Linked DNA regions of Saccharomyces cerevisiae S288C. The gene in region 2 interacts genetically with the main gene of each other region. Each region holds a gene or a part of one and is shown on either strand. Other genes may lie near its edges.

Region 1 (17,212 bases), on a different chromosome or scaffold from region 2:
ATTATTTGTTTAGTCTCTCTTTTTGGGTTCTATTCTTTTGTGTGTGCGTCCGTGTCTTATTATATTACATAATGGTACAGCTGGATCCACTGTCACTTTTCACTTCGGTTGCTACTGGGCCCGCGGTTAAAGCAACTCTTGCGGCTTCTGTGAAAGCTTCGTTGACACCTTTATTCAGCTTAGCGCTACATTCCAAATAACGTAGCGCACCGATCTTTTTAGCCATAGCTAGACCTTCTTCATAACTTATCAGGTTTTTGCCGTTTGAGGTGCTATTTATGTTATTTCCGTTGTCGTTAGAAACGCTGTTATCCTGTTGGATATTGTTCGGTGTGATTGCGTTAGATTCATTTTCATTGTTTCTTAAGTCACACTTTAGTGCAACTAAGACTAACTTGACGCCTTCACAATGATCAGTGATTTCACCCACCCATTTATTTTGGACATTTTCTAAAGAATCGCGTGAATCAATACTGAAACATAACATTATACATTGCGTATCTGAATAAGACAAGGATCGTAACCTGTCAAATTCCTCTTGGCCCGCAGTATCCCACAACGATAGCGTGATATGTTTACTGTCAACGAAAATATCATGGATATAGTTTTCAAAAACAGTAGGCTCATAAACTTCGGGAAAATAACCTCTGGTGAAAACATTCAGCAACGAAGTTTTACCACAGGCACCGTCGCCCAAAATAACGATCTTTCTTTCGATCGGTTTATTTGACGTTGAAGCTGACCCACATAGAAATGACATGTTTGTTTCCCTTTACCTTGTGCTACTATGGATTTTAATGAAAAACTTGTTGTTATAAAGTAAAAAATGCTGACCAGAGCTAGAGATGAGAACGATAAAAAAACGAAAATCAATGGTTGCCTATTTTCCAGTAAATTCAAAATAATACATGTTTTTTCTTTCTTTTTCTTTTCTTTTTACTGTTTACCAATTTTCAGGAATGTTAAGAAAGATAAAAGAAATATACAAGATGCCATTAACGGGTAATGGCACCAGTATATCTATGACGGGTAATCCTGTTAGTGGATGTCAAAAAACGTTCTTGGGGTTTCCCGGACGCCTTACACTATTTTGTAAAAAAGCTCATCCACACCCCTCTCCTTGTATTTCTTATCTATAATCTACTATTTCTCGCGTAGGTGCGGTAACGCTGTTCCAAGAAAAAAGTTGGCCGACGACTGGTTCTGGGCCGGGCTCGACCGGAAGTGGTAAGTGGCCTCAATTTGAGTTTCGCTTACTCCTTCCATTCTTACAACACACCCGAAGTTTAATTCACGTGACCAGATAAGGGATTTATTATATGTTTATTGTAAAAAAAATAAGGTAGATAGACATATTACATTTCCTCGTGCTTATCGAAGTATTTTTCTTAGACATCTCGCATGACCACAATGCTGGCTCGAAGGCATTTACTCTTTCCTTGGGGAGATGTGCTTACTGTGATTGATTATGTATTCTTGCGTGCATCTGCAAATCTGCGTTGACTAATTTCGGAGTCTTTTAAACACAGAAGCATTACAGGCCCCTCTCCTCACTTGTGCCCAGTATGCAAGTGTGCTTTCCTGTGAAAACTCCTTCATTTTCTTTTCTTACGCATATGCATAGTCGGATTCCAGCTATTTCCATAGTAAAGAAGAAGAAAAAGTAAATACTTCCTTTTCACATGGGCCGGCCGATGCAGGTCCTCAGGTACTTCGTTTATAAGCTTATATAAGCATGCAAAATTAAACGAGGTGGCTGCTTTAAGAGCGTGCAGAATATAGTCACTTACTACCCTAAGTTAGGACTTTGTCTTAGGAACAAACACATCAAAAATGTGCAGAACAACAAGCCCGCGGGGGTTTTTGCGGTTGACTACTCCTGCTTCATGTCTTTTCTCCCCTGCCATTTGTGCTTCTGGATTTGCTTGAAGGTAACCTTAAAGGATCTGCGCATCTTTCTCTTACGAAAACAAGTATAAGATTTTGCCTGGGCAAACTTAAATTACGGAAAAAGGAGTCGTCGAGAATGTTGCCCTTCCACATTTGGATTAGCTGATAAACGTAAATTGGGGGGGGGGGGGGTCGGTTAAATTTTGTCGACGGGAATGGAATTTTCTCTGGTATTTGCCGCAGCTTGCAGATAGTAGAGCCGATCTTGTGAGGTTAACACCGCATATGGCATTCTGTTGCAAAGTTAAAATGCGTCACCCACCCTAGCGCCTAGGGTCGAGTACTGTTTTAAACTTTTTCAAGACCGGGCGTACCATTGTGCTTGTTCCTTACTTCGTTATTTTCTTGCATATTATATTGGTTGAGATTATTTCTATGGACTATATATAAATAAGGGACGGTCGTATTGTTCTTTTATGTCTGCATCCTAAAGAGTATTTTTTTTTATAGTCTTGTTTTCTTGTTCAAATTAAAGAAAGATCTAATAGTTTTCGTAATACTGAAACTACTCTTTTTTTTTCCTTACAATCTGACTTTTTTTGTATTTCCTTTTTTTCCGTTTGGTTATCCAGACTACAGTTCATGGTAGTATATCATATTATCGTATTCGTTTAACTATTTCTCAGTCCTTTTTTTTAAGTCTTTTTTTTTTTTTCTCATCATTTTATTACTGATATTTATAAAATGTACTTGGAATATCTTCAACCGAAGTTGAACCTAATGGATGAGTCTAGCACTATAAGCAAAAATTTCCCTGATTATTCACCAAATTTAAACACACCCATTACTTCAAATTTTAATGAAGAAACGGGTTCGGACTGCTCTTTAGTTACTCCAAGAATAATTTCCAGTTCAAATTCGAATTCGAACTCCAATTCTAATTCGAACTCCAACTCCAACTCAGGCTCTATTGACGAAAATGAGCTAAACAACTCTAATTCATCCTCCTCGTCTGCAAGACAGATAAGGAAAAAATGGAAAGAGCCTGAGGATATAGCATTCATTACTACAATAATGAATAATTCTCAATTACTAACATTCGTAGAATATTTCAAGCCTATGAAGAATTTTTGGAAAAAAATTTCAAAAATCCTATTCCAACAATATGGGTACGAGAGAAACTCTCGTCAATGTCATGATAGATTTAAAGTCTTATACACAAAGTCTTTGAAAGTGCATCCATCAAAGAAATCCAAGCAAAAGAAAAAAAAATCAAAACAAGAGGCAGGCTCAAACTTAAATTTTGATCCGTCAAAATTATCTAGAATGCAGTATTTGCTAGTGCAGTTACAAAACACTTTTAGTTTTGTAAACGGAAACATTATACTCAAGTCGCAAAAAACATTGAAGCCGAACAAGAATGGTACTAATGATAATATTAATAACCATTATTATAATAATTGTAACAATAACAATAATAATATTAACAATAGTAACAATAGCAACAATAATAATAGCAATAATATTAATAGGAATAGTAATCATAGTACTAATGTTTTTAGTACACCAGAGCATATTCAGTCAAGTATCAACCTCGATAAATTAGAATCTTTGCCAGCTTTGGATACCAAAGGAGAACCATCCTTCATTAGCCCGGCTCAATTTTCCCTTTTGTCATCAGCACCGGCAGACAATCTAATCCTGCAAACTCCACCATCGCCATTTTTCCAGCAAACAATGCCTATACAGCTACCGCGCGATGCACAACAAGAACAAATTTCCCCAGTTTTCTCTACAGATGTCATATACATGTGGCAAACAATGTTTAACACTATTGAAAATTTAAAGGAACAAGTAAACTGCTTAAAAAATGAAGTTAAGCAATTAAACCATAAATTTTACCAACAAAATAAACCGTTGCATAATATGTCAACTTCAGACTCAGAAAATTTTATGCAACAACATTAAAGTATGTATCGGGAAGTCTCCACCATAAATTTTCTACCCCTTTAATTCTAGCACATTCCCTGTTTCCCTTCACCCTCATCAATAATTTTCAATTCGTCGTTTCACCTTTTAATTAATTTTAAATGCTCATTTCATTTCTGTTTTAAATTTTATGTCTGTTTTGTATGCTATTTCATTTTTCATTTACTTCTCCAGGGAAACAAGACAATATTACTTATATATACATTTATATTTATGCCCATTCAACATCCGATTTTTTTCTATAAAATAAGTGAAAAAAATAATGAAACTTAACGAATCTGTCACCAAGAAATGTCCTTATTGTTCATTTTGGATTTTCTCAAGTTTTATCTTTGGTTGAAGCAGTTTATGTTTTGTTTACTTGGACAGCCAAAAAGAGAAAAAGAAGGTGAAAATTTTTTATGTGATCTCTTCAAAGAAATTTTAGATACTTTAAATGATGCCGTACGTCTTTGTTATAAAATATAGATATCTGTTTCTGGAAAGTGGGGGCAGAGACTTTTTAGTTTTACGACTTTTTTTCTTCACGTCGAAACTTTTTCTGAATTTTTACCAACTGACCTTCCAGCCGACTTATCATTTGCCCTAATCCTATCGAACGATAGTTGTTTCCCATTCTTCAGGAGATAGAATAATAAAAGCGATGAAGATGAAGTTATAGCACTCAAAAACGTAAAAACACCTCCATATCTCATCTTCTCGACCATCTTGGTCAGTGCTGCAATGAAAATTGCGGATAGGAGACATCTAAATAAATTTAAGCAACCTGTTGCGGTAGAAGCCTTAGACGGAAAGAGATCTACTATCAAAGTAGTAGAGAAGGTCAAAATACAGTTTGAAAATAAACTTGCAAATGCACTTGTGCATAATACAGCAGCAAGCGGTGTTTTCACCGAAATACACCATCCAAAGGCAGTAAAGCCAATGCTACTGAGAAGAAGTGTCACAAATGCTGGATGCAACCTTGCCTCCACTAAATTGAATGCATAATGAGAATTAGAGTGAATAAGTTCTGCTACCTTGTTTTTATCACCTTTATATTTCTCCATCAGCTGTAATTCTTGTTCTTTAATCCATCTGTTGTATTTAACCTTTCTTGTTCTGTAGCTCCAATTTAAGTACCGACCAGCAGAGATAATACTTGTCAGTGTCGAGATTCCTGCAGGTAAAAAGCACAGGCCTATTTTTGCAACAGATAGATTGTACTTTTTACTCAATACAATTGTTAAGGCTGTTTGATGAGTGGTCCACGTGGAAAATTGCAGGCCGGCAATGGACAATAAAATGTCTATTTCTCGTATGTGCAAAATTTTTAAAGGTGCTAAAAAATCCACGCTAGTACGTGGTTCTAAGGTCTCAGGGTCAGGATCGTCTAAATGTAATGTTTTTTTTACGGAACCAACATGCAATATCAAAGACCTATTCAAAAATGACCTTGGTGTTACGGAGCCGTTTCCCACCAAAGTTCTTTTTGTCTCTGGCATCAATAAGGTTGAAAAAACTAGACAAATTCCGGAACCAATAGCCAAAAACCAAAAAATTGCCCTCCAACCCCATTTCGAGGATAATCCGGCACCAATCAATGCACCGAATGCAGTTCCAACAACTTGGAACCCTGCAACCAATCCAACATATCCACCCCTCTCTACTTTTGTCGTTACATCTCCCATTATTCCGCTATTTATTGCAATAACAGGAGAAATACCTGCTGCCTGTAAACACCTTAAAGCCAGGATTTGGGCGTAATTATGTGCACATGCCAGTCCGATGCAGGCACAGAAGTAGGCTAAGATTGCCCATAATACAATAGGCCGCCTTCCAAATGTATCAGCTAAACCACCCATAATTGAAGGAGCCACCCCTTGGAAAATAAAATAAACCACAATAGTGACATTAGCTAACTCTTCTGTGATGTTAAATTTCCTCTCAATAATAGTAAGCACTGGATAGTAGATAGACCCTGCCACGGTTGAAAAAAAGCCTGTGAAGGCACACTGAACGACAAGAAGCATTTTTTGCTTATGGCTGAACCTTGAATAAGGCACCATATCAAAATTTGATTCGTTATCTATTTCAGAATGAGAATTAGATCTTTCTGCGTCGTTGTCACTGATGGCATCTGAGCTGGATCTGTCCACATTATTATTATCAGATCCTTCACGTTCTTCCTTGGCTATAGATGCGTTACGCATTACAGAAGTTTGTTGTTTGGTCATGATTTACTTATAGAAGTCTCTTCATGAGCTATCTGTTATTTTTTTATTAATAGAAGATGGTAGTGCTAAGAGATTATCACTTTTTTTAAGCAAGAATAAGTTCCTTTGAACGCTGATTGCTTGCTTACTTTTTTTGTTGTAAGAAGATTTTTTTGCTACAGTGATAGAGATTCTTCAAACCTTTCAGCTTCACCATGGTTTTATCAACTAGAAGAAACTCCAAGATCAGAAGATGAGATAAAGGGTCCGTTAACAACCGGGCCAGAAACATGAAACCCGAATCTCCGAATTTCGCACCTCCAGCATATTTTCGGCCTTGGCAAAAAATGGCGGAGAATAATAAAGGCAAAACTCAGTACTAGCCGTTCTATGTTAGTGAATCGTGCTGCTAACTCTAATTTTAGTTATTACAGAGTTCAGATTAAAAAAAAAAAAATACTTACTATTACTTTCTATTTGAGAAGACTTATCACACCAATTCCTCTTTCTCGGTAGTGGAGCGATCAAAAGGAACATTTTCCTTTGATTCAAGAAGCTTTACTTCTTAATTTACTCCCAGTTCTTGCTTTTTCCTCTTAAAGGCTAATTCTTTACCTTTTCTCAAGAGAATAAATAAGAGGATCGATGACGAGGAGGTTAAAGCCCCCAAAAATGTAAAAACACCTCCGAATTTCATTTTTTCTACCATTTTACTCAATGCAGCTATAAACACAGCAGATAGAATGCATCTGAAAAGGTTTAAACATCCCGTAGCCGTAGATGTCTTCGTGGGAAAAAGATCAACTATTAGAGTTGTTGAAAAAGTCAAAATGCAATTGGAAAACAGCGACGCAAATCCACTCATGCAAAGAACGGCCGCTAAAGGGGCTTTGACAGTAATGCACCATCCGTACGCACAAAATCCGCTACTGCTTAAAAGCAAGGTAACAAATGCGGGTTGCAACCTCGCCTTGAAGATATTAAAGGTGTATTTGGGATCATTTTCTATGATACGTTGCACCAAATTAAGGTCGTTGTCGTGTTCTTCTAAAAGCTTTGATCTCTTCTTGCCCAACCAATTTTGGTAATATTTTAATCTGCGCCTGTAATTCCAATTCAAATATCTTCCAGCAATGACAATACTACATAATGTGCAGATACCGGAGGGAAGGTAGCATAATCCTACCTTTGCAACAGTCAAGTGATATTGTTTACTCAAAGCTGTGGATAACGCCGTAAGGTGCGTAGTATACATGGCAAATTGTAATCCAGCGACTAGCATAAGTATACAAATTTCATAAGCTTTCAAAATCTTGAAGGGCGCCAGTAGATTTAGTTGCGTGGGCAGTTCCAATGTTTCGTAATCTGGATTATCCAAATGCAATGATTTTCTTACTGTTGGCAAAACAAGAATGGGAGCTCTATTTAAGTATGATTTTGGGGTGACAGAACCATTCCCGGATATGTTCCTCTTTGTTTCTGGCAAAATTAAAAACGAGGCTAGGAAGCAAATGCCAGATCCAATTGCTAAGAACCAAAAGATGGCTCTCCATCCCCATCTAGATGATAATCCGGCACCGATAAGGGCTCCGAACGCAGAACCTAGAACTTGAAATCCAGCAACATATCCAACGTACCCGCCGCGCTCGGCTCTAGTAGTAACATCTCCCATTATTCCGCTGTTAATCGCAATCACGGGTGAAATACCGGCGGCTTGTAGACATCTTAGCACAATGATCTGAGCATACGTTTGAGCACAAGCAAGACCGATGCAGGCACCAAAATAAATGACGATTGCGACAAGCACCACCGGTCTCCTGCCCAGTGAATCGGCAAACCCGCCCATGAATGTGGGGGCAAGACCCTGAAATACAAAATATACTACAACAGTGACATTCACCAATTCCTCGTCAATATCGAATTTTCTTTCTATAACGCTCAGAACTGGATAGTAGATGGCACCTGCTATTGTGGAGAAAAACCCAGTGAAAGCGCACTGAGCTATTAAAACTGTCTTGAAAGAACGGGAAAAGCGTGAGTGAGGCGGAGCGGTTATCTCCGGTTCTGGCTTTACACTCTCGGTCCTAGTCAAAGCCAATTTGTCTGCAGTTTCTCTATTATATGACTGCATACTCTCCGCAAGCTCGTCCTCAAAATCATTTTCCCGAATTATACTTGATGTTGCTCCTGCCATCGTTGCAGTACTCAAGTTTGAGAGCAGAGTTTCTACTAAAATGACCAGCAACTGACTTGCCGTTTTTACAATGTATATTTATATACCCCATTATCTAGAGATTGCTTCTTTATCTAGGAAAAGATGGTGACGCCGTTTATCTGTTCTGTAACCGCCATTACTATTTTCATCAGGGCCAACAAAAAAAAGTCCAGTAGCTCATACGACATCATCTGAGCCAAGACACATTTTCTCGAGAAAAATGTGGTGAAAGGCACAGATTTGGGGGGGAGGTCAGGATGCTGAAAAATTATTACCTCCGTCTTACGACCGCTCAGACGGGTAAGAACACCGGGGGTGGACAAGACAGTTAAGCAGACTGAATCCAAAATGACAGCATATATTATCAATATCCTGTTTATTCATGATTGAAATGAGATAAGGAGTAAAGGCAAAGAAATCGTAATAATAACACTGTAGCATATATATGGATATATATTTTTTTTTGAACTGAAGTAAGGTGGACGGATGCATCGAATGAAGGTTAGGAAGGGATATAGTTTTAGAAATTAGGTGATAAAAATGAAAATTACTGCACGTCATGTGGGAGGAGGATGTTTTGGTGTATGAATGAGAAAATTGACGGGCCTTTGGGACGAAGCCGGCTGGGGATTTCGCATGGGCGACCTAAAATTTGCCATGGAAATATTGGCACTTTGTGACCTTCTATGACTAAAACTTTTTCTTGACTGGTCTCGTTCCTGACCAGGTTGCAGCTGGTGCTGCTGCCCGTATATATTTGCCTGTGGGCCCATACTCATTACCGGATGAGCACCTATATTTTGTTGGTAAAGGCCATGCTGGTTCAAGGAAAGAAACTGTGAGCTCATCACTGGTGTCTGGGACTCCGAGTTTGAGCTCATTGTAGGAAGCTGAGCTTGTGGTCCCATCCCTGGTGGATATAAATACTGCGGCATTATCTGTTGCACTTGTGGTTGCGGAGGTTGCATATACGGGTTGCTCATCCACTGATTTGCAGGCATAGGTAAAGTATATGCGCCTGGTTGCTGGTGTATTTGAGGGTATCCGACCCCTGTCTCAACTTCTGACACTGTAGGTATATCAGATCTATATCTTCTATGGCCTCGTGGACTTGCAAGTTCGGAGGCGTTTATCTTGCGTTTCTTTGTCGTTATCGGAGACGGTATCGTAAGATGATTGTTGTTATCATTATTTGTATCTCTATTCATGGACATATCAAGAATCTTGTTTAATGTCGAATCACTTATTTTATCACTTTCCATACATTTATCAATAATCTGGTTTAGTTTCGCAAGATTTGACTCGCGTATCTTTTCTAGTTCTTTTGTGTCGTTTATCAATCGTACGTTTAAAAATTGCTCCACTAGGCCAGTGTCGCATGCATTTAGTTCTTGAATATCGTCAAACCCAAGTTGTTTTAATATTCTTATTCGAAGCGATAGAGACTTTTCTGTTTGCGATGATTCCACTGGTCTACTGTTGGTACTCTCGTCTCCTGTACTAGCTGTCACGGTTGTACCAGAAGATAATGAGGTATGCTGCTCTCGTTCAACAGCCATTGGTCCTTTCGGCTTCTCTTTTTCTTCGGATTGTCTATGTGGCTCCTGCTTCATAATATGGCATCCACTTTGATTTTCGTCTTTACTTATTTTTTTTCAATTTCTGCAATTAATCGTGGGACTCTTGAAATGTTTTGCGCCTTTTTGTATGAGTTAAGCGCAGGGATTGCACGCAATTTATTTCCTCTTCTGCGTAGCCTTTAAAATACGCGAACCTTAAGTGATATCAGTACGCGATTTGATCTTAGTTTTACTTATCTGTTAAAATAAGATACCTTGGGTTCCCAGTGTCTTTTCTACTATTGCTTCACACCTTATTATTTTTGTGCACTTTTGCTTTTATGAGAATAGGCAGTGCATACCTTTTAATTTCTTAGCACTCTGAATTTTCCAACCTCTACGAAAAAAAAGGAAGAACTTACAAAGTTCCCCCATCTGAAGCAGTAAATTTCCAAAAATTTTTTTCACCATCCGCATTTTCCCTTTTTGATCCACAATTGCCCAAAACAGTAATATTTTACGGGTAATGGCGGGGCAAAGCTCATCTCCGCAGATCCTCTTCGCGCCGACAGGCGCTGGGGGCTGAAAACACTACGTGCGGAAAGTTGTGCCTTCATGTCCTGATTCGGAAATGTGATGATTTCGTAAACCTACACAATATCCCCTTTGAGACTATTGCAGAGCTGCATATGTACTATTTTTAGCTGTCTAGGAACAGGCTACAGTAAAAGGAGGCCGGAAAGCTGAAGATGAAAAGAGTTCTTAAATTTCTTATGGGTATCGGACAGTATGTGTTTTCTTATGTAAATCTATTTAAAATTGTTCCGTCTTTGAAAATCTCTCTATCCAAGAATACTACTTGCTAGTTAAAGATAATCGTAATGAATCTTGGCTATATTTGGTCGTCTAACAAGTTCACTTGGATAATGGTACAGAAACATTGAGGCCATTAACGAAAAGAAAAAGGTGGACAGTATAAATATCGGTAAAAAGAAAAGGGGACCATAGTGATTGTGTGAGGTATAGGGGGTGAGATGTGTTCGAAAAAAGAAAAAAAAAAGGAAAAGTAGTAGTCACGTAGCTTAATTGTATAAGACGAAATGAGCTTTACCGGAAGTAACAGAGACGGTACACCCGTCAGCACCGCCAGAGAACTCACCATTTTCGTAAACACATTCACCGATGACATTGGATGAATCATCAGCAGCAACTATCTTGACGTTGTAGTTCAATGCGTCGCTGTTGTTTGGGTTAGGAATCAATGATAAGTATGTCACTCCACCAGTGGAGCCAGCACCAAAGTTTAATGGTGCCCAGTTACCAATACCAGATCCAGAAGTACCCCAGATACACCCATCTTCAACTGAGACGCCGGCGTTATTAACGTAGTATTGAGCAGATGTCTTTTTGCCTTCCCAAGTAAAGTAAGTATCTTGGTCAACAACGGTCAATGGCAAAGAGCTACCCCCTTCAACATAGGTTGGGATAACCATGTTTTCAGTGCCCGGGTAGTCGGTTCTGCAAATGGCGACACCCTTGCTTAGTTTAGAAACAACATAGGCAGCCTCGACACCCCATTCACATAAGTAATCCGCGTCAGTGTTAGAACGGTACAAATAACCATTTTTACACAACAAACCCCCGACAGATCTACCGTCAGATGGTTGATCGGATGGCCATTGGGTCTTAGACATACCTGGTTGGCAGGAGTAGGAACAGTAGGACCCCTCCTTGCATGAACCGCCAGTGGAAGTGTCGGTGTTTTCCACACCGGACCATCCACCCTCGCCAATCCAGTCAATAGAAATGACACCTTGACCAGATGGGAATTTGTCACATGGAATAGTGCCGTCTTGGAATTTCTCACTTGGGCCTGAAAAGTCGGCCAAATCACCGTAGATACTACCACTGCCAGAAGAAGAAGAAGAAGAGGAGGAGGAGGAGGAAGAGGAAGAGGAAGTAGAAGAAGTGGAAGTAGAAGTAGAAGTAGATGGTGAAGTGGAAGAAGTACTAGATTTAGTGGCAGAAGAAGCACTAGATTGGGTTGCGGAAGAAGTTGACACGACAGTAGATGTTGGAGCAGCTTCTTCACTAGATGAAGAAACAGAGCTGCTTTCTAGGGTAGAAGTTGCCGAGGAGGAGGAGGAGGAGGAGGATGCCCCTTGAGATGTTGAGGCAGTGGCAGATGCAGCGGCATCAGAGATTTTCTCATTCTTGGCTAAGGCAGCAGATGAAACAGCAATGGAAGCGGAGCTATCCGCAGCGGCTGCGGAGGAGGTTGGAGCCAACACAGATGTTGTAATGATAGCAGAGGTAGCAGCAGTAGCGACTTCTGAAGCAGCAGGAGTTACAGTGTGGCCATCAGAATCGACAACAACAGTTTCGTAAACGTATTTGTACGCAACGGCCCTCTTATGTTGGTGGGCATCTTCTTGGTGAACATCCACGTGTGGTAAAGCAGACACGATGGCACCAGAACTAATCAACGTAGTAACGGCAGTTGAGAATTTCATTTCTGCAAAAAAATAAAGGATTGGATATTAGTTAGTAAAGTGTTTTTTTTTCTCTTGTTTTACCTCAAGTATTGCTTTTCTTACACAAAACCTTTCCAAATGCAAACCAGTCTACATCTTATTTAAGATATACACAGCTGCTATGCTGTGCTATGCTGAAAGCATTAATGGCTATTTTCTGGTTCTTCCTAATGTAGATCTGAAACTTCTATTGACTGACGCGAAACGCCAAAAAAAGGCATGTCCGGATCGGGAAAAAGTGTCCGCATCAGGAAATTTTCCGCCGCAATTTTCGTGACGAATGTCGTTCAGGAGAAAGAAACGAAGATAAAACCAAAAATAGCGGTTGAGCACGACTAAACTAACGTTTTGAGGACGCATTGGCGGTATTGGAAAGGGTTGAACTGCTGCAGAAGCTGAGCAAGCCTTGGTATTCATGGCAATACGGATTGTAAAGGTGTATGAGAAAAATTGTGGTAAATAACTTACTAAAAATAAAGCTCAGGTTAACTTAAATATTGTGGTTTTTAAAGGAATGTAAGTAGTTGGGTAGCACTAAACAAATGTTTTCTTGCTCGCTAGTTAATTTTTATAAAGGAAGGACTGTAAATAGTTGGAATTCGAGAGGGGAGCAAAGAAACTGTTTCTTTCAGTTCAAATGGTCTTGCTATAGTGTCTTATTCAACTGAGTAGATATATATATTTGAATATGCTGTTCTCACTTTTGAAGTAAGAGAGGGAATGCGAAGATAAATACAGAATAATTTCATGTAGTTTATAAATAAACAATGGCAATTTTGAAAAAAAAAAAACAACAAAGCACGATGCGAAATGAGCGAATTCCGTCCCAGCGCGTTTCAAACGGTAAGAGCAAAGAGAATGAGTGAAGTGACAGGAATTTGGCATACTGGTACGACGAGACGTAAACAATACTTAAAGAGCAGTTGAACATTAGCATTAGAACGATTATTAGCTATTGATGTCCTGACGTGGTGTACAAACTATACGGAATCTTGTATATAAATATAGGTAGCTATTGACGATGGTGAAACACTAATCGTCCTTATTCTTCTGTTTCGACTTCAAAGCATTATTAACTTTGTCCAATTTAAATTTTTTGGAAAGTCCTTTTTCCAATAGCCAGTAAGGAACAAATATCATGACAAAACGCATGATGTTGGCGAACGTTCCTCTATAAACATCTACAGGGTCACTAGTGCTCAAGATATCTTTAACCAGTTGCTTTGCGTACGCATCAGCTGGCATGGGCTTATTGTCCTTAGCCATGGTTTTTCTTGAATTAAAAGCTTCCCTACCTTCAGGGAAGTTGTATATTGAGGTTTCAGGCAAGGGCCTTTTATCAGCGATATCAGTAGCCACACCGCCAGTAATAGCGTTAATCACTCTCACGTTGAAGGGCTTCATCTCTAGATGTAACCCACGAGCATATTGGTGGATAGCAGCTTTAGAAGCGGAATAAATGCTACCAAAGGGGAATGACACAACTCCTGCCAAGGAACCAGTGAAGACAATGGTTCCTTTCGCTTTAATAAGGAACTCCGACAATTCACGGCACATGTTGATATGACCAAACACATTGACCTTAAAGCATTGTTCTACTGCAGCATCTGTTGCATCCAATGCAGGGAATGTACAACTCTGACCGGCATTGTTGTACAATAAATCTAATTTACCATCAGGTAAATTAGCTCGCAAAAAACCAGAAAATGTTACAATTTCTTCTGGCTTGGAAATATCCAACTTATATGGTTTGATACTATCGTTACCAAATTGGATGGCCAATTGTGCCATTGGTTCTAGTCTTCTTGCACATGCATAAACCAAATAGCCATTTCTGGCTAATTCCTTCGTTACCTCATATCCAATACCACCTGAGGCGCCTGTAACAACGGCAATCTTTTTAGGTTGTGACTGTAACTCCGACATACTCTTTGAAATCCTGATCAATATTTGAATTGAGTATATATTAATAGAAGTTGGGCATGATGAATAAAACTTATTCACTCTATTTACCTACCCCCTTCCCCCTTTCCATTGACTTATTTTTCACTTTTTTTCTCCACCGGATGAGGACAAGAGAAGCACCTAGCTGTGAATACACCAGAGGAGGAAGTAGGGGGAAAAAAACGATATCAATATAAAGTAAAGAATGATTCTTGAATAAATAGTAAATACAACTAATAAAAAAAGGTTCACATAAATAAAACGTTAAATTAAATAATTTTAAAAAGACTAAGCAGATGCTAACATCATGAACAAAAAAAAAATGTGAATGTATCAAAAAAAATATTTGTTAGATCATTCTTCAAGTAAAAAGGCTGTCCATAAACATTAAGGTAAAAATATTACGTGTTTATATGGCTGTATTTTCATGTTTTTCATATTTGAATTCATCTTTAGGATTGTTGGAAAACATCTTTCAAAAAGGCATCTTCTTCGGCCAAATGTAGTGATTTGCTACCGGCAGCAACAGCACCACTTGGGTTTCTACCACAGTATCTGACCTTGAAATCCTTATATTTATCCGTTTCTTTTAATGTTGTGTGTAAGCGTGGTTCTGTGTATGCCCACGAACCCATGTTCAATGGCTCTTCCTGGCACCAAACAATTTCTTCCAAGTTTGGATAAGAATTTAATGAATCACGTAGCTGAGCAAATGGGAATGGGTGCAGCTGTTCAATCTTTAAGAAAGCAGTGGTCTTATCACCCAAACTTTCACGTCTTTTATGTAGGGCAGTGTACACTTGGCCACTCAGCAAAACTAATCTCTTGGTTTCCTCTTTCGTACCAATACTTTTTCCATGTTCAATATCTTCGATAATCCATTGGAATCCGCCTTCAGTGAATTCGGAAAGAGATGATCTGGCCAATGGGTGACGCAGCAGCTGTTTAGAAAAGAATAACGCCAATGGTTTACGGAATTGACGATGTTGCTGTCTCCTTAGAATGTGGAATAAATTAGCAGGCGTAGTTGGATAAACAACCTGGAAATTACAATCCTGATGTTGTCTCTGTAGCTTTTCTTCAGATGGGAAATATCTTGGGTCTTCATTGGCTAGTTGCAAGAATCTTTCCAATCTACCAGACGAATGTTCTGGCCCCTGGCCATCATAACCATGGGGTAAAGACAAAACTAAACCAGAGCGTTGCTTCCATTTTTGTTCACCACCGGCAATAAATTGGTCAATAATAACCTGTGCTGTATTTGCAAAGTCACCGAATTGAGCCTCCCACATGACTAGATAATCTGGGGAGGTTAGCGAATAACCATATTCGAAACCCATTACACCGTACTCAGATAACGAGGAATTTGCAATGGTGAAGTCTGCCTTTTCATTATTCAGAGTGCTTAGCGGTGTGTAAATGGCTTCAGATTGTTGGTCATGCAAGACTGCATGACGTTGAGAAAATGTACCTCTTTCTACATCTTCACCGGAAACCCTAACGTTCTGACCATCCAAAACCAATGTACCGAACGCTAATGCTTCACCGGTGGCCCAATCGATGCCTTCACCTGTCTCAATAGATTTTCCTCTATTTTTCAAAATTCTCTTTAGATTTTTGTGCACTTCAAAACCTTCTGGCCACGAAGAGAGTACCTTACCTAGTTCTTTCAAAGTACTCTCTGGAACATTAGTTGGTTCATGTGGTAATATCTCAGTGGCCAATTCCTTTGGGGATTTGAATCCTTCCCAGGCAGCAGTTAACCATTCTCTTTGAGATGGGACGTAATCCTTTGCCTTTTCGAAAGCATCTTCAAATAAGTTCCATACCCATTTCTTGTGCTCATCAATATCTTTTTTAGAAAATGTGCCTTCACTTATCAATTTTTCCGTATAGACGTCAATGACAGATTTTTGTTTTGCAATTTTTTTGTACATTAATGGTTGAGTAAACGATGGCTGATCGGTTTCATTATGTCCATGTTTTCTCCAACCAACGACATCAATTATGGCATCTGTGTGGAACTTATGTCTCCATTCTGCGGCTAAATTGAAAATAAAGGTCACAGCTTCCACGTCATTAGCGTTAACATGGAAAATTGGGGCATCAATGGCCTTAGCCAAATCGGAAGGATATGGTGTGGACCTTGCAAATCTTGGATCCGTAGTGAATCCGATCTGGTTGTTTGTAATAACATGAATAGTACCACCAGTAGAGTATTCTGGTAGGGTCAAGAAACCCATGGTTTCATAAACAACACCCTGCCCAGCAAAAGCAGCATCACCATGTAATAACACACCTAAGGCCTTTGTTTTTTCCTTCAAATCGTTCTTGGCATGCAATAAAGCTCTAGTTCTACCAAGAACAACTGGATCTTGGGATTCTAAATGAGAAGGATTTGCCACCAGCGATAAATTGACGTACTTACCAGACGTAGTTGGTCTTTGGTAGTTCATACCCAAATGGTACTTGACATCACCCGATCCTTCAATATCATCGCGAGCGCTCGAACCCTTAAATTCAGAAAAAATAGATTCATTTGGTTTACGGACCACATTGGATAAAACGTTCAATCTACCACGGTGAGCCATACCCAAAACAATATCTTCTACACCCAATTCAACAGAACGATCAACCAAAGTTTTAATACCTGGAACAACACTTTCCAAACCTTCTAAACCGAACCTCTTATCATTTGGAAATTTTGTAGATAAGAATGACTCAAAAGAAGTGGCCCATGTTAATCTATCTAAGATTTGTCTCTTTTGGTCCACTGTATATTGGTAAGGTTCAGGAATCTCAATTCTCTCTCTTAACCAATCACACTTTTGCTTAGATGGAATATGTGTGTATTGTACCCCATAAGAGGAACAATATAACTTTTCT
Region 2 (16,210 bases):
CTTTAACCCAATGAGCCATAATGGTCAATTGAACAACATACCGGTGATTTATGCTAATAAAGCATCGTTGGACGATATGGCTTCTATGCAAGATCAAGGGCTTTTAAACGGTGACTTTATTTTACTAGTGCATTACGGAGATTATGTTTTCCAACAAATGTTGACTGCTCAAGAATATGGTGCGAAAGCAATTATCTTTATTTCTGAGCCTTATCAAGACAACAAAGACGTGATACAAATGAAGTCAGTTGCGTTGCCGCAGTATGGTACTGGTGATGCACTTACGCCTGAATGGGAAGGATCAATAAGAGATCCTATCGATGCTACGGAAGCCAAGTGCCTACCCAAAATTCCATCCATACCGATATCTGCCAATCAAGGAGATAAAATACTAGCTATATTATCAGACACTGGCGTAAAGTTTTCTAATAATTTATTCAGTGGGTCGCTTAACGATTGTCGACTTGACCTACTAGTGCAAACAGCAATTAGGGAACGCCACCCGGTTCACGATATAGTTGGTAAAATTGAAGGATCGGAACAAGCGGGCAGGGCAATTGTTATTGCTGCACCGAGGAACTCTGCTAGTTATGGCACTATGTATCCTTCTTTTGGAACCGTCGTTTTGCTGTCTCTGATCCAATTATATCAAGAAATGGTTTACAAATTTGACTGGAAGCCTCTAAGAAATATATATTTCATTTCCTTTGGGGGCTCTGAATTTAATGAAGCGGGAGCCACGGAGCTGATGGAAAAGAGAACAGAGGCATTGAAGAGTGAAATATACACCATTATCGACGTCGGCCAAATCGGTATATGGGATGATAGTAACAATTTAGAGATACAATGTCATCCGCTACTAGTAGATCTTTTTCAAAAAAACATGACAAGCCGTAAATTTAACGTTAAAGTGGATAATGTTCACCAGTTCGGCGACTGGACGCCGTATCTAGCGCAAGGGATTCCAGTTGCGATCATTTCATCTCCAGGAGTCATGAATAGAGAACATCCGATCTACACAGTAGAAGACAAATTCGATTTCATCAAAGATAAACTAAGAGACAAAAAGAAGGGAGAGGTACTTTCTGAGATAATGCTATATCTTGTCGAAAAATCACTCGAGCTCATTGACGATCCATTCATCCCATTCAGCATATCGAACTACGTAGATTTCCTTTCAACTACGTTAAAAGACCTCCAAAAAGAATGTCCTGATACGGTAAACTTTGACGAAGTCTTTTTGGGCACAACATTGTGGGAAAACACTAAACTGCAGTTCGAAAAATGGAAAAGCGAATGGACAGAGCTTATGTATGGAGCCGGTACATATATAGAACCCACTATCATTGCCATTAATCGTTGGTCATGGAACTACCTACTTTCCCTAATAGGCGTTACCCAATGTTTGGAGGAAGGGTTAATGGATAGAACCTTTTACAAGAACGTTATCTTCGGGCCAAAACTCTGGGTCGACAAAGGTGACCCACTTCGTTCATGGACGTTCCCTGAAATCAGGGACACTATTGCAATCAAGGACTGGAGCTCTGTGCAGGTTCAAGCTAACACACTCGGCACAATTTTACAAAATACAGCACGCTATTTTCTTGAGAATAAAAACCTTCATGGAATAAACACGAACGAATTTTAGTTATCGGTTGAAAGAAAATTACACATCGATTTATGCAGGCAATCAACTATAGTATACACAACATATACTCCTATGACTTGTAGATTTCTTGCCTAGGAAGACTAAATACGTTTAATTCTAAGATTAGGAGCCCATGCATTTAAAGTTGCTTTTTGCCTGTGCGGGACAATTTTATTAGTCAGTATGGACATCTCCGCGGGGAATTTTTTTATCGGCAGAGCTGTTTAGACAAAGGATATAGATAGTATAAGGTGTTAGTACACACATTTCAACATAGTTATATTAGGAAGATTGCCACAAATTTCCTCTTTTTTTTTTTTTTCTTGTTTTTATTACACCTCCGCCCCTTGAATACCTTAGAGGTTAAGAAGTGAAATGCCAAGAGAAAGCCTAATAGGACACACAGTATTTACCACGGGAAAAGCGCGGGATATTTGAATCAGCTGGAGATTATTATGTACGCCATGTATATTTTTAGAGACGGCTTGTAACGGGTGCCAAGATATTCCATATTTTTATGTCTCAAAAAGGAAGAAAAGAGCTACGAGCACGTGCAAATATATGAACTTCAACACCTGTAGAAACTCGATAGTGAATAAATCAATCACAGTGCTTTCCTTGAAATAAGCTTCTGTCTGAACTTTAACAGTGATTTTTTTTTTATAGAACAGGCCTTTTCATCTGCAGAGATATGTCTAGTCTCGTAGGTTTTGACTCGTAACTTTGACTTCTGCATCTGGATCGTCAAAGCAACCCATACTTGACTTGATTACATTAGCATCAAAGAAAATCGTGCCAACGCCTTTTAGTCATGTCGAACGGTAGAGGAGGAGAAAGAGGGAGCTATCAAATTTAAAATTCGCAAACAAGCTGTTGAGAGCGACATAATAGCAATATTGTCGGGCCCCTTAAACACGTTTCATTAGTGTTTTAAGTGCCAAGCCAATGTGTTAGTAAGCTTGTAAAGGAATGCACGTATTAGAAAGTGAGCAACTTAAAAGTGAGCAAATATGATTAAAGTAGTATGCCTCCGAAGCTCGTCTTGTACTGCAAACTAAGCACAGAATATGCCGCACAAATGTCGGTGCCTATTATACATATGCTTTTCGTTATGTGTCTTAACAGACCTGACCGTTAACGGCAACAGAGAAAAGGAGCACTACCGACGGCTTTTTGCTTCTGGCCTATTTAGTGCCTGAGAATTTTGTGCGTGTTTCCTAGTGTCCGGCGGGCTTGACCTAGTCCACACTTCCAACAAGCACAAGCAGCGTGCTTCCTCACACTGGCGAATGCACCCAGAGTCGGCGTTGCCCGAAGTAAGAACCCTACCGCTACTCTGGCGCAGGCGCAGAGGAGCCACAGCCCTTTAAGACGCAAAAAAAGTAAAGCGGCAAAAGAAAAAACTGTCACTTTCGGACCGTTGGGTTATCCACGGGGTTTTCTGAGCACTCATGATCGGTAGCGGTATATTTCTGATCTCGCTCATTTTCTGTCAAATCGTCCTGATAATGGACGAAGACTGTACGTAAAGGGCAATTTTAAGAGACACAAAAGAATCCCACGAGAATTACTACTGTTGATTTTTGTGATTGGCTAGATAAGAAACCTTATCCGCTCACGCGCGTATTACTTCCTTCTTCGGATTCAGATTTCTTTCTGTGGGAACGGGTCATTTCTGCCATCTTACGTCTCTCAGCTTTTCTCTTTTGTTGAACCTTAATTTATTCATGTACATCAAGCTGTAGTTTGTTTTTTTCTTTTGGTAATTAATTTTTGTCCTTTTGTTTTCTTACAGCGTGTATATATTAATGATTAATTTTCTATGACTGATTTCGTCGCGCCCGGCGTTTTCTTGTCTCTTAATGCCTCCTGTTTCTGTTAATTGGTAAGATTATGTTAAATTGGTCAAGATATATACTAATACAATTTTTTAGTTGATCTTCCCACCCTTGTTTTCAAGCGATACCACGCCTATCCAGTGCTACTGATCGCTACTTGCCGAGCCCCTACTTTTATGCTAACAACCTTCGAGAATAGTTACATTCGAAGATGAATTATAACTGCGAAATACAAAACAGGAACAGTAAGAATGTTGACAATCAAGTCAGTCTACCCCCTATCCAAGTTCTATTTAACTCCATAGAAAAACGGAGTATGCCCGAGTTGGCATTTTCGAACATAGAATACTCGCATGGGAACCTTCGGTCTAGTACCGAGGAACAAAACTATCCTGCGCCTGTGTTACTTCCACAGCATCATTCGATTGCGTATCCCGCAATTAATTCTGGCGGTACTAGTACTACTGCTACTCCTACTGCTTCTACAGTTGAAACGTCCAAGACGAGTAGCAGTGCTATGGATACACAATCTCAATATGGCAGTTCAAAGAAGTCAAAATCGGCGTCCGATGATGCAAAGCCCTGCTACAAATCCGCCCCAATATATGAAATAATCAATAAGGAAAAGGATGCGGGGGCACAATACAACAGGCCATTTTCGGATTTTGTAGAATCTAAATCAAGGAGGAAGCAAAATTCGGGCAGGAGGTCTAACCTGCCAAAGGAAACAGTGCAGATACTGAATACTTGGTTGCTGAACCACCTGAATAACCCCTACCCAACTCAACAAGAAAAGAGGGAGTTGTTAATCAAAACTGGGCTAACCAAGATTCAACTTTCTAATTGGTTCATAAATGTGAGAAGACGCAAAATATTTAGTGATTACTATACCCTGGTAAACTCAATTCCTAATGACAACGCGAATAATACCCCAGTGGAACGAGTTCAAAACGTCTCAGCATATCATAACACATTATCTGCCACAAATAATACTATGTACGATGCTACGTCAACCTGCTCCACGGATTATGAATTATCCAAGAGATTTGCTCATGCCCCCGTTACACGCCGTAAAAAACTAATTGATAGGCTGGAAGAATTGAAAAAGCTATCCAACCCTGATATGAATTGATCACTTATCAATGCATTACTTAAATATTCATATAATTATATCTATTACCATTTACATTTTATCGTTACTATATATAGTATTATCATGTCATTGAACGTGTTACGTCTATTATGTTACACTGATTTTTTTTTTTTTTTTTTACATAACAGCATCATGCAAGCCTTTAAAAATAATGTAGGTATGTATATATACAATAATATATATATATATATATATATCTGTGTGTAGAATCTTTCTCAGATATAAATTGATTGATTCTACTGAGGTACGTAGTTATCATCTTCTCTTTCTTCATCGAAACCTGGTCTGAAAGTACCCATTGCATCAGGAGGAGGGATATAATTATTCGTATTAGATTGTGAGCTACTGTTATCAAATCTGGAATGTGGTACGCCGACACGCTCTGCAAATGGAATGGCGAAGCCACCTCTGGATGCATCAAAATCGAACCTCAATTCATCGCTGACTTGACCACCGCTCTTACCACGACCAAACTGTCTTCCATCTTCAAAACCAGGATCTAGATCAATGGTAATTGTCTTTTCGTCTAACTTTGTATCGGACAAATATTTTAAGGCATTCAATGCTTCATCTGGACAACTATATATAATAAAACAGAAGCCACATGGCGTGAACTTAAAACGGTCCAAACCCATAATTATTCTTTTTATTGTGCCACATTTACTGAATAATTCGTAAATTTGTTCTTCTGATGTATAAAAGGAAAGATTTCCTACATAAATTGTGGATGACTTCATCGACTCACGCAGTTCTTGTAGCCCGTTAGGGTTTCTTCTAGCCTTGCGCAGCAGGTACCTTGATGGTGTATCTAGGCGTTTAGTTGAATGATCATATTTAACTTCGTCAAATTCTTCCAGGGACATCTTTCCCTTTATTTATTGGTATATTAATGGATGCAACTTTTATTCGATATTAGTCCTTTCGGGACTTTAAAAGCTGTCGAGACACTTTCTCCATATAAACTCATGTTCTATATTCATACATATAATATTTTTCTTGAAAAAAACACAAAAACTGTTAAAGCGGGTAATACTTTGATAAGCACTTATTAACGTTTATACCATACACTACTTCATACACCAATTACAAATCTATTAGTGGTATACTTTTACTGTAGACAATGTGGATTTTGATGTAATTGTTGGGATTCCATTGTGATTAAGGCTATAATATTAGGTATATAGATATACTAGAAGTTCTCCTCAAGGATTTAGGAATCCATGAAAGGGAATCTGCAATTCTACACAATTCTATAAATATTATTATCATCATTTTATATGTTAATATTCATTGATCCTATTACATTATCAATCCTTGCGTTTCAGCTTCCACTAATTTAGATGACTATTTCTCATCATTTGTGTCATCTTCTAACACCGTATATGATAATATACTAGTAACGTAAATACTAGTTAGTAGATGATAGTTGATTTTTATTCCAACATTTACTGGTACAATAGGTGTATGATATTTTCCCAAAGTTTAAATTTATATAATATAAGTGGCTTGTGCATTAATGCTCTTGAACGAAACTGGATAACGAAAACTGCAAATACTTGTAGTTTTAAACAGACACTTTCTGGGATAGGTCTATCAGCGAAGCTTGGGAATGTTTCGCCAAATTACCTGTATCCTTTCATGAGCGTGAGCAGGTTTAGGTCATGGTCACATCTTATTATATAAATTCTTTCAGAAGATTGTCAATTGTCCATCTATCGCCATAGATTATCTGAGAGCGAAGTTCCATTATGTCTACTAGTAGAAAATAATTTGAAGTTGAAATATAATAGCATTACAAAATTTTTTCTTTATATAGTCCGGTCTTGAAGAAGGATAACAATATTAAGTGTATGAAGACACAAGAACTTTTTCTTGGAAATTTGGATTTTTATGGGAGGAAACCTACAGCGGCAATGTATAATTATGATTAGTTCATCCTTTGCTGCCATCTGTTCGCAATTATTCATGCAATTGTATGATTATTGTCAGGCATTTCAACTTCCGGTAGATTCGTTTGTAATAATAGGTGAATTTTGTGTTGACATTATCAAACCGTTAAGATAGTGTTAGTTGCCAATTAGCATTTGCCTCGATAGAATGTGACGTTAGTTGTGGTACTAGGAATAAAAGTTGATGGCCAAACATTTTTCCTGCACATTTCCTTCAGCGTTTTCAGAAAAGAGAATTTGAGTAAAAATATTTTTGATGTTTAGGTTACCAATATCTCATTAATATAAATTTGAAAACAATGAATTTTGGGTTATACTTGGAGTGCATTTTATTGTGGTTAAAGGCTACAATATTAGCTAAACAGAATGTACAAGTAGTTTTCCTGGAGAATAAAAGAATTCTAAAAGAGAATCGATAATTCTATACAATAATATAGTTATCTCTTCTTTCGTTTATGTACTGTCGTTCTTGTTTTATTACGTTATTAATCCTTGCAGTGCACTTTTCATGATGACTGGTGACTGTTTCTCAATTTTTACATCATTTTTTTTTGAAAACATGATGATATACTAATAATTTGGATACTAGCAATAAATGCTTCTTGATCCTCTATTCCAACAAAAAAGTAACAAGAGCTTACTGATCTTCGGTTTTTATTTTACCTTATCCCAAATATCAAATTGAAATATACCGATTGTTTTAATCCGTTTTGTTGTATATTATCGTAATAATATGCAGATAATATACATATATACGTATTACGCCGATTAGGCTGACACTTTAACAAAATTTTCTGTCCAATTATTGTCCGATATAGTGTAACGGCTATCACATCACGCTTTCACCGTGGAGACCGGGGTTCGACTCCCCGTATCGGAGTTTTCTTTTTGCTTCCTTCCGCCCTTCCAAGTTGTTGCATAATCTTATCTGTCAAAATATGAACGCTTGAAAACTATAGATTATAATTATCATTTATTTAGCCATAATGGAGGGAAGAATAATATGATTGCATATCAAAGGTAAAAAAAGTCGAGTAAATGACTTATAAACGTAAAAAATATATTGATAAAAGACATAAACGAGGCCATGAAGGTGGGAAAAAAAAAAATAACTGCATAATAATGTTAACTAAATGAAAATAAAATGAAAAATAAAATGAAAAATAAAATGAAAAAAACAAATCATAGGACAAAAAGTTTCCAAATGAAGGATAAGAGGCCTAAAAACCAATGTGCTTTCCAGGCAAAACCAATCTTAGCAACAGCTACACTTTGGTTTTGTATAACTTCTTTTTATTTTTCAATGCACGCGGCTTTAACAGTTCAAAGCTACACATCATACCCGTTGTAACGCTCATTACTGCCCCCCAATTATGAAATTCTCCACAATAATTTGGTGCTGAAAAGATTGTGACAAACTTTTTCCTGGCAAAGAATTCATAACCATCTTCTACGACCATATGTCCCCTAAGTATTAAATCGAATTTAAACTTAGCACAAAAATCAAGAACGTTCCTCTTAGAAAATGTGTATGAAACACCACGATCATTTTCTGACCAATCAGTTACTTGAGGGTCTGGGTCACTCCACAGTAAGTCTGTAACCAGCCCGCTTTCAGGAATATCCGTTGGTCTTGCGACTTTTTCGATTTGCTTCATGTCATGTAAATCGGGCGATATACCTCCATGAACGCAAAAGATCTTATCTTGAATAATTGCTGCTAATGGCAAAGTATTAAATACGTCAACGAACATTTTCCATACTTTCGAGCTCAATCGCCTTTTGCATTCATCATAGAAACCGTACATCTTTGTGACATTAGCAGATTCGTGATTACCCCTTAACATAAAAAAGTTGTCTTTGTACTTTATTTTGTAACATAATAACAATAGTATTGTTTCCAATGAGTTCTTACCACGGTCCACATAATCACCCAAGAACAGATAATTAGTATCAGATGGCACACCAGACAACTTCAAAATTCTCAATAAATCATTAAATTGTCCATGAACATCACCGACAACTTTGATAGGCGCTTGTAATCTCAAAAGAGTAGGTTGATTCAAAAAAATTTCTCTTGCATGATAGCAAATGAGTTGAATTTCCCAAGAATGGAATGGAAAGTTCTTTTTTTTGGACGTTTTTGTAATTTCTCTTGACTCACCCACTTGTAGTAATTTTTCGATCGCAACATCGATATCAAGACCTTCATTTGAAGAGGTATCATGAGAATACCGTCTCAAAAATATAGGCTTCTTGCTACTTTTAGGATTAGGTATCCCAGATGTTGGGGACGAAGGCGCACCAAAAGAACCTGCCTTAACCGAAGATGAAGGAGACTTAACTCTGGACGATAACCCTGAAGATTTTAAAAATGATGAGGTTGATGAGGAAGCAGACGTAGCGGATGAGTAGTAGGAGGAAAAAGAATATGAGGATGGAGAAGAATAATTTGATTCACGATAAGAGGGTGATGTCAGGATATTATTTGAGGTAGTGGCAGTGGTAGTAGAGGAAGTTCTTGCGGTATTGATCAGCTTCGGAGCAGTTGCTGATGAGGATAGGGCTTTAGCGACAGAAACATCGATATCTAGGTACAAGCTCTTCAAGTTTTCATCCTTAGTGTATATTTTCTGTTTATGGGCATTCTCACCAGGAATGAGCAAATTATCATTGCTAGCTCGTTTATTGTTGTTGTTTTTCCCGGCCGATGCTAAAGTGTTGTAATTGTTTATAGAATGTTTATTATTGAATTTCTTGATAGTAGGTAGAGACCTACTATCATCTGGGTCATTAGGTTCGTTACTGTTGAGATCATCTGAAGGTGTAGTTAATTGTTGCTGACTAGAGTTTGAATTAGTTGAGCAATTCGGTACTGCAAAGTTATTATTTGATCTGGACGGGCTTCTTCTCATAAATAGAATATAAGTGAAGGGAAAACAATATCTAACTTGAAAGGAAAATGGACTAAAGTAATAAAATAGGTTTTTTGTAAGGACAAGCTTGTAAATGAAACGTCAGAGACTCGGTAAAACAAGATTAATTTGAATGTAGTGATTCTGACCGATAGTATTTATAGTCCGTGAGGAATACTTACCAAAAAATTGCTAAAAGAATAGACACGTTTAAGGTATATTTACTAATGCCATTTTTTAAGAGATACGGAATCCAGCGAAATCGCTAAATTTGCGGTGGTTGCATTCAACGTTTTTCTTTCTTTTTGTTCGATAATTTATCATTTATTACGTTAACCGGGTTATACAAATACGCCTCGTTAGCTCGTATAGAAGTACATGTCCTTTTATAGTGCATAAACATAGTATGTTCCTTAAGTGTCCAAACATATTCGCTCTCTACGAACTTCGCGTTTTACCTCGAAAGCATTAGCTACTCTTTTAAACTGTGTGCTTCGTGTTGGTTGTTTTCACCTTTGTTGTGGCTGTGTATGCATGTAGCCCACATTTTCCATCCTGCGATTCACTGCCCTCGTAGTCGGCTGCAGAGAGTTAATGACGCGTTGGTGGTGCAAAGTCGTGCTGGAACCCATCGGGCCCCTCAGCAAGTTACGTGCATTCTGTGAAGCAGTGTGGCCAACGCTGTGGTTTGTACTCGTTGTCCTATTCTTGTTGATTGGATTAACATCCTTGTTAAATAAGTAACTTTCGCTTTTCCATATACCGGACAACACTGCCTGAATCTTTGCACTTGCAAGATGTGGATAAAGATCATCAAATTTTTTGTCATAGTTAGTAAAGAGCAAATCGTCCTCATCCTTATGATCTGTATCACTGCTAGAATGTGCGATTGACTGAGCATCGTTATGGCTTTTTTTCCTGATATTATTTGCATTTCCCGTTATTATAGGTTGTACTCTCAACAATGCTTCATCTAATGGGTTGTAAAATCTTTTTACATTAGAGTATTCATGGGATATTCTCTCAAACTCCCTTTTCGCATCAATGTTTCCTGCCATAAAGATAGAGTCACTACCGTCATTTTGTGAACTTAAGTCCATAATAGAATTCTCCCTCTGCAACCATAATTTTCTTTGTGTTCTTGATTCTGCATCAATCCCATCTGATTTAAGGAACTGGGCGAAGCTATTAAATTTGGCACCTGAGTTGGATTGTCTGTTTGCATCGCTACCGGAGTTCGTACTAGATGTAATATGTTCGTTGGACAATGGAGAGGCCGGGGCTGCAGAATTTTTGTTGAGATCGTTGGATCTCAGAAGTAGATTCTGATTACCTTTCTTGTGAAAAATATTATTCATTCTTGAACCATGGAAGCTTTCAGGAGCAGCTCTCCTCAAATTATTGGTTAAACTCGATATGGAGGTCGAAAAGTTGTGCTGTGGTACATTATTATCTTTACTACCGATGTTAGCAATGGTGGGGAAAGTAGACTGAGAGTTCGGTATATTTTGGCCAAGTTGAGATCTTCCACCATTTTTCTTGCTCTTGCGCAATTTGCCATCATCCAGTTCATTAAAAGTATCACCTGAAGCCATATGCTCACCCGAGTCATGAATTTCATTCCCAAGCGAATTTTGGATGGATGATGAATTTTCAAATCTACGTTCAACTCCAGTCGACTGGGAGAGAATCATATTAGGCGCATAATTTTCCAGTAAGCTATGCCCTTCAATATCCTTGGTACCAGCGGAAGAAATATCATCAGGCTTGATTAGATCTTCTTCTTCGTTTAATAATTTGTGTTGTTTAGAACTTTGTCTCCTAAGAGACATAAAGCTCGAGTCGCTTTTTCTTGATGAATTACTCCTAGGGGCATCAATGTGATCTTCCTGATCAAACTGTTCATCTGAATGACTTGGTTTTTGATTACTTTTATGTGCAGCTAAGGTATTACCAACATCAAGAATTTTTTTTTCTTTATCATATGGTGCTTCTGATATATTATCGCCCGCTTTAACCAATGAGGCCCTCAAATTTTGAGAATGGCTGGACAAGTCATCAATATCAGCTTCCTTCGTCACCTTTGATTGCCCCTCTTCATTGATTACACTTGTTGCATTCAGTTTTGTTTCAATTGAGCTTGGAGATGTTTCTCCATCTTTCTGATGTTCTATAGAATGGCTTGATTCTCCGAAATAGTTATTGGAAGATAAATGAGGTAATGGTAAGGATACAGCTCTATGATTTTCCTTTCCATCAGTACCTGATTTATCTTCTTCTTGTTCATCTATTGAATCCGGGGATTGTAATTCATTCTGATTTAATTGCTGCACATTCTTTTTTTCTTCAGGCATAACATGCTCGGCTATTACTTTATCATTATTCACCTTTCCATCTTCAATGTTGTCTTCCGAAAAACATTCCACCTCCTCGTCAGTAGTAGATTCACTCTTTTTAGATTCTTGCGCATCTCGAAGACTCAGAACAGATTGGGTACTTTTACTTCTTCGTGGTTTCAGGCCGAAACCAGCAGTTCCAGTATTAGAATGACTGCTGTTCTTTGGACTGAGCAGCGTATTATGCACCGGACTATGAAAGGATGCTGATCTTTTTCCTTGATTGGACTTTACTCTTGTTAAAGCTGTCATATTCAACCCACTAATCGTTCGCTTTCTGAAAAGTGCATCAGAACTCTTGCATTTCTGAGAAACGTTGTGCTTATTAAAATAATCATTATCCAGGGTGCCATCATGTGTTAAAACTCTACGCAAACCTTTGAAGCTTGCGTTACTCTTTGCTCTCGACCTAGTCGAAAACTGTCTAAATGGCTTTGACTGGTGTGATACTGTTGACGCATTAAGAGATGTTACATCAGTGTCTGACTTCAAAGTCCTTCCTCGATGAACCATAATTATAGTTACTCAGTAAGGATATATGATATATCCCAATATCTATGTTTACCTGACCCGTAAATCGATAGAATGTGCTAGTCCATTAGATGTTTGGATTCCTTAATCATCGTGCCAGCCAAATCGCTATACCATCCGCAACTAGCTATCCTTGCGGTTACCCGTACAAGAGTAAGCTCGGTTGATAAAAACAACGTTGAATTAGTCGTTTTTATATCCATATAGATGTATATATATGTATAGATGTGTTTGTTCGCCTCATTACAGTTATACTTTGGTTGAGAATAATATTGCAGTGTTTTGCGTTTATTGAATGGCATTAGTGTTATTTGAATATTTTTTCTCCCATAGTAGTAACTCTCTAGTCAGGTCGTCCATCATTGATAGACTTTCATTATAACCGTTGTAAATCGTATCAACTTTTTCTACGAAATGCTGGTTTTCCACGAATCGTACAAATTCCTCTCGATCAGACTGATCTTCACTCAATTCCCATTGAGTTCTAGAAATGAACTCCAAAATAGCGGATACCCTTCTTCTCATTTCGTTTAATGAGGTCCTTTGAGGGGGTAATCTGGGCTTTACTGGTTTGTCGGTACCTATATCAGCACTCCTTCTATTTTGGTTGGTGTCTGAACTTGTATTGCTTCGACGAGTTCTGTTGCCCTTTCTTGCTGGTTTGGAAACTCTTTTAGAACCCCTCGAACTAGCTTTCCTTGAATCATCCTCAGAAGAAGATATTGAGGTTAGGGGTAGGATGGGTTCATCAGTTTTCTCAGTGTCTTGCGCCGAACCCGTAGAAGATTCCTTTTCTTGACTAGCTTCTTTTTCCACATCATTTGTTTTTTCCATTGATTGCTCTTTCGATGGTCGTAGGCTTTCTTTCATATCATCATTTGTTACCGAGTCCGGTTTGCCTTCCGTTAGCATAACATCCGTTTGTAATCGAGTGGTGCCGTTGTGATTGTCGGTATCACCTTGGTATATATCAGCATCATTTTCATAACTTTCAGGATCTTCTTGATGTGATGTCCTCCTGCTTTCTTTCAAGGCTTTTTCAAGCATTCTTTGATATTGCTTTTCTTCTCTTGCCATGAAAGTTGCCCTTTTTCTATCCAGTAGCTTCTTATCACTATCTCCAGGATCCAGTGAATACTGATCGGTAGAAGCATCATCCATTGAATTCCTCCTCCTCCTTCTACTTGACCTCGTGTTGCCGTCCTTGGCTAATGCTACAGCCGAAGCTTCATCTTCTACTTCATCTTCTTCGTCGCCGATATCGTCGACGTTATCATCGGTATTGCTGGTATTTCTGGGACTTTTCTCTGCTTCATTGGCGGCATGAGATTTACTTGCAGCTGCACTTCGTGCCTTCCTTCTTGATTGCCTCCTTTTCTCTTGCACAGGTTTATAGATTGACCTTGCTTCGCCAGTATCTGTGGTAAAGAGCTGATGTAACTCCGGTCTGCATTGCTCGCACCAATATTTATCAGGTGCGTTGTCTTGAGTAATACTCACACAATAACCGTGCTGCCAGGAACTGCACTGCTCACATTGAATGAAAAATCCGGAGTCATCTGGAGTATCGAGCTCTCCACAGATACAGCGAGTTTCGCCTTCCTCTTCCTCGACTTCCCCCTCTCCACCTTCCATAGGAACATCTTCTTGTTTTACACTTTCTTCCTGTACACTTCCAATCGCCGCCGTTGTTGTCGCTGTTGATGTTGTTGATATAATGTCTGTGGACCCACTAGCAATGACTTCCGCTTTCTCCATATCTTCACTACCCACAACAGGGCCTTTAGGCACTATTGCTGTCGATTCCATTACTCTTCTCTATACTCCTATATGTTTATGCTATCTTTTAGTAAGGTTACGCAAAGTAAACTTCGAAGGAAACAAACTATTGATGGTCTCTGTTGTGAACTTTGTACCCCTGTAAATACCCAGTTACATAAAATTCATATACGAAAACCAACAAGAACAAAAAAGAAAAAACTAATCAACAAAACGTTATTTTTTGATCATGCAGTGAAAAGCCACCAATAGAAAATTGAAAATAGAAAATGCAGCTGATTGTGCTGTGCGGTTTACCTAGTTTACCCATAGCGGAGAAATTTTTCAAAACTAATTGATTACGTTAAAGCCTGTCTGCGACGTGCTCCGTCCTATTTCCGCAAGATGATGAGGGTAATGCCCTTTATAACTGCTCAAAATAAAAAATAACCGCCGAGGTCTTTTTAATTATCAAGGTTATAAGAAGTGCCAGAAGTGGGTGAACTTAACTCAATAAAAAAATATTAGTGACGAACATCTATCAAAAATTGAAAATTGAAGGTACTGCTCAGAGAAACTGAGTCTGGTCTTGCCTACATCTTTAAGAGGAATTTGTTCTGGTGTATTATTTATACAGCCGATAACATTGATGATACTCTCAGGGTCATTTTCACGTAGTCGTGCTTTGGTGAGTTGTATACTACCCTACGTACTTTTCACCGCTTATGTTTTACACTGGGGTCTGAATGATAGATTTAAGCCTAGCATACACATCGGCGTCTCACAAAAAACGACGCTGCTGAAAAAAAAAATGTAAGAAAAAAAAAGTGGAAAAATATGAGCATGAAAAAACTTCTGCTAGCGGACCTCATCGTTATTTAGCTTCTCATTCCCGCCAATTGAAGTTGCTCATTGAAGAAGAATAAGTGATTAAAATGAAGGACTTGTCTCATTATGGTCCTGCGCTATGTGTTAAATTTTACAATGATTATGTTCTAGCTGGTTATGGGCCTTTCATCCATGTCTATGACTATCATTCGGCTACGTTGATTAACAAATGTAGGCTATTTCACTACAATAAAGTTCATGGACTTAGCCTTTCTAGTGAAGGGAAAATTTTGGCCTATGGTGCAAGATCAGTAACAATAGTGGAACTTGAAGACGTTTTAAAGAAAGAGTCATTGGTGGATTTCGAAAGGATTAACTCAGATTGGATTACCGGTGCTACATTCAGCTTTGACAACTTGCAAATATATTTGTTAACATGTTATAATAAAGTGCTAATTTGTGATTTAAATTGTGAAGTTCTTTTTAGGAAGTCTCTTGGGGGAGAAAGATCTATTCTATATTCCGGTATAATTAAAGTTTTCGGTCCGGATAAAGTATATGTTAACGCTGGTACTGTAATGGGCGGTGTTATCATTTGGGACCTGTTCTCGGAGACAAAAATTCATAACTTACTGGGTCATGAAGGTTCTATCTTTTATGTTAATTTAAGCAACAACGGAAGATATGTTGCCAGTTGCTCTGACGACAGATCAATTAGACTGTGGGATTTAGAAACTGGCAAGCAGCTGTCTGTTGGCTGGAGCCATACGGCAAGAATATGGAATTTAATGTTTTTTGATAATGATTCAAAACTAATAAGTGTTTCTGAAGATTGCACATGCCGTGTATGGAACATTATCGAATCACGAGAAAACGTTGCCGAATTATCCATATCTAACGTTTACGAAGTACATTTAATCAAGAGTATATGGGGCGTTGATGTGAAAGACGACGAAATGATAGCTGTAACCTCCGGGAATGATGGTAGGTTAAAGCTGATTGATCTTCTTCAACTGAAGAGACACGGCGATGAAGAAACATCGTTCAGTCTAGATGATATCGCAAAGCAATGTGGCGATATTTTCGAAAAGAATGAAAGTATCAAGGGATTTCAATGGTTTTCATTCGGTGTAATTGCTATCACTTCATTGGGTAAAATACTTAAATACAGTGATGTCACGAAACAATGGAAGT

What was found.
Region 1: mutations in CUP9 (region 2) and QDR2 together harm fitness more than expected from each alone (negative genetic interaction), as found in Saccharomyces cerevisiae (2 studies listed by BioGRID).

What each region holds. Positions count from the first base shown.
Region 1 is NC_001141.2:123,300-140,511, reverse strand, and holds QDR2 (cation transporter), read right to left. Parts: upstream 8,269-17,212; coding exon 6,640-8,268; downstream 1-6,639. Other genes in the region: Rho family GTPase RHO3, read right to left, coding at 65-760; RPI1 (Rpi1p), read left to right, coding at 2,635-3,858; QDR1 (multidrug transporter), read right to left, coding at 4,404-6,095; POG1 (Pog1p), read right to left, coding at 8,847-9,902; putative glucosidase SIM1, read right to left, coding at 10,931-12,361; AYR1 (acylglycerone-phosphate reductase), read right to left, coding at 13,415-14,308; alpha-ketoglutarate dehydrogenase KGD1, read right to left, coding at 14,779-17,212. UniProt on the Saccharomyces cerevisiae protein: Multidrug resistance transporter involved in resistance and adaptation to quinidine and to the herbicide barban (4-chloro-2-butynyl [3-chlorophenyl] carbamate). Implicated in potassium uptake.
Region 2 is NC_001148.4:201,450-217,659, reverse strand, and holds CUP9 (Cup9p), read left to right. Parts: upstream 1-3,697; coding exon 3,698-4,618; downstream 4,619-16,210. Other genes in the region: TRE1 (Tre1p), read left to right, coding at 1-1,648; nuclear cap-binding protein subunit CBC2, read right to left, coding at 4,876-5,502; PPQ1 (protein-serine/threonine phosphatase), read right to left, coding at 7,854-9,503; TCO89 (Tco89p), read right to left, coding at 10,013-12,412; CTI6 (Cti6p), read right to left, coding at 12,719-14,239; tRNA (34-2'-O)-methyltransferase regulator RTT10, read left to right, coding at 15,124-16,210. UniProt on the Saccharomyces cerevisiae protein: Probable DNA-binding protein which plays a role in protecting yeast cells against copper toxicity. May regulate the expression of important copper homeostatic genes.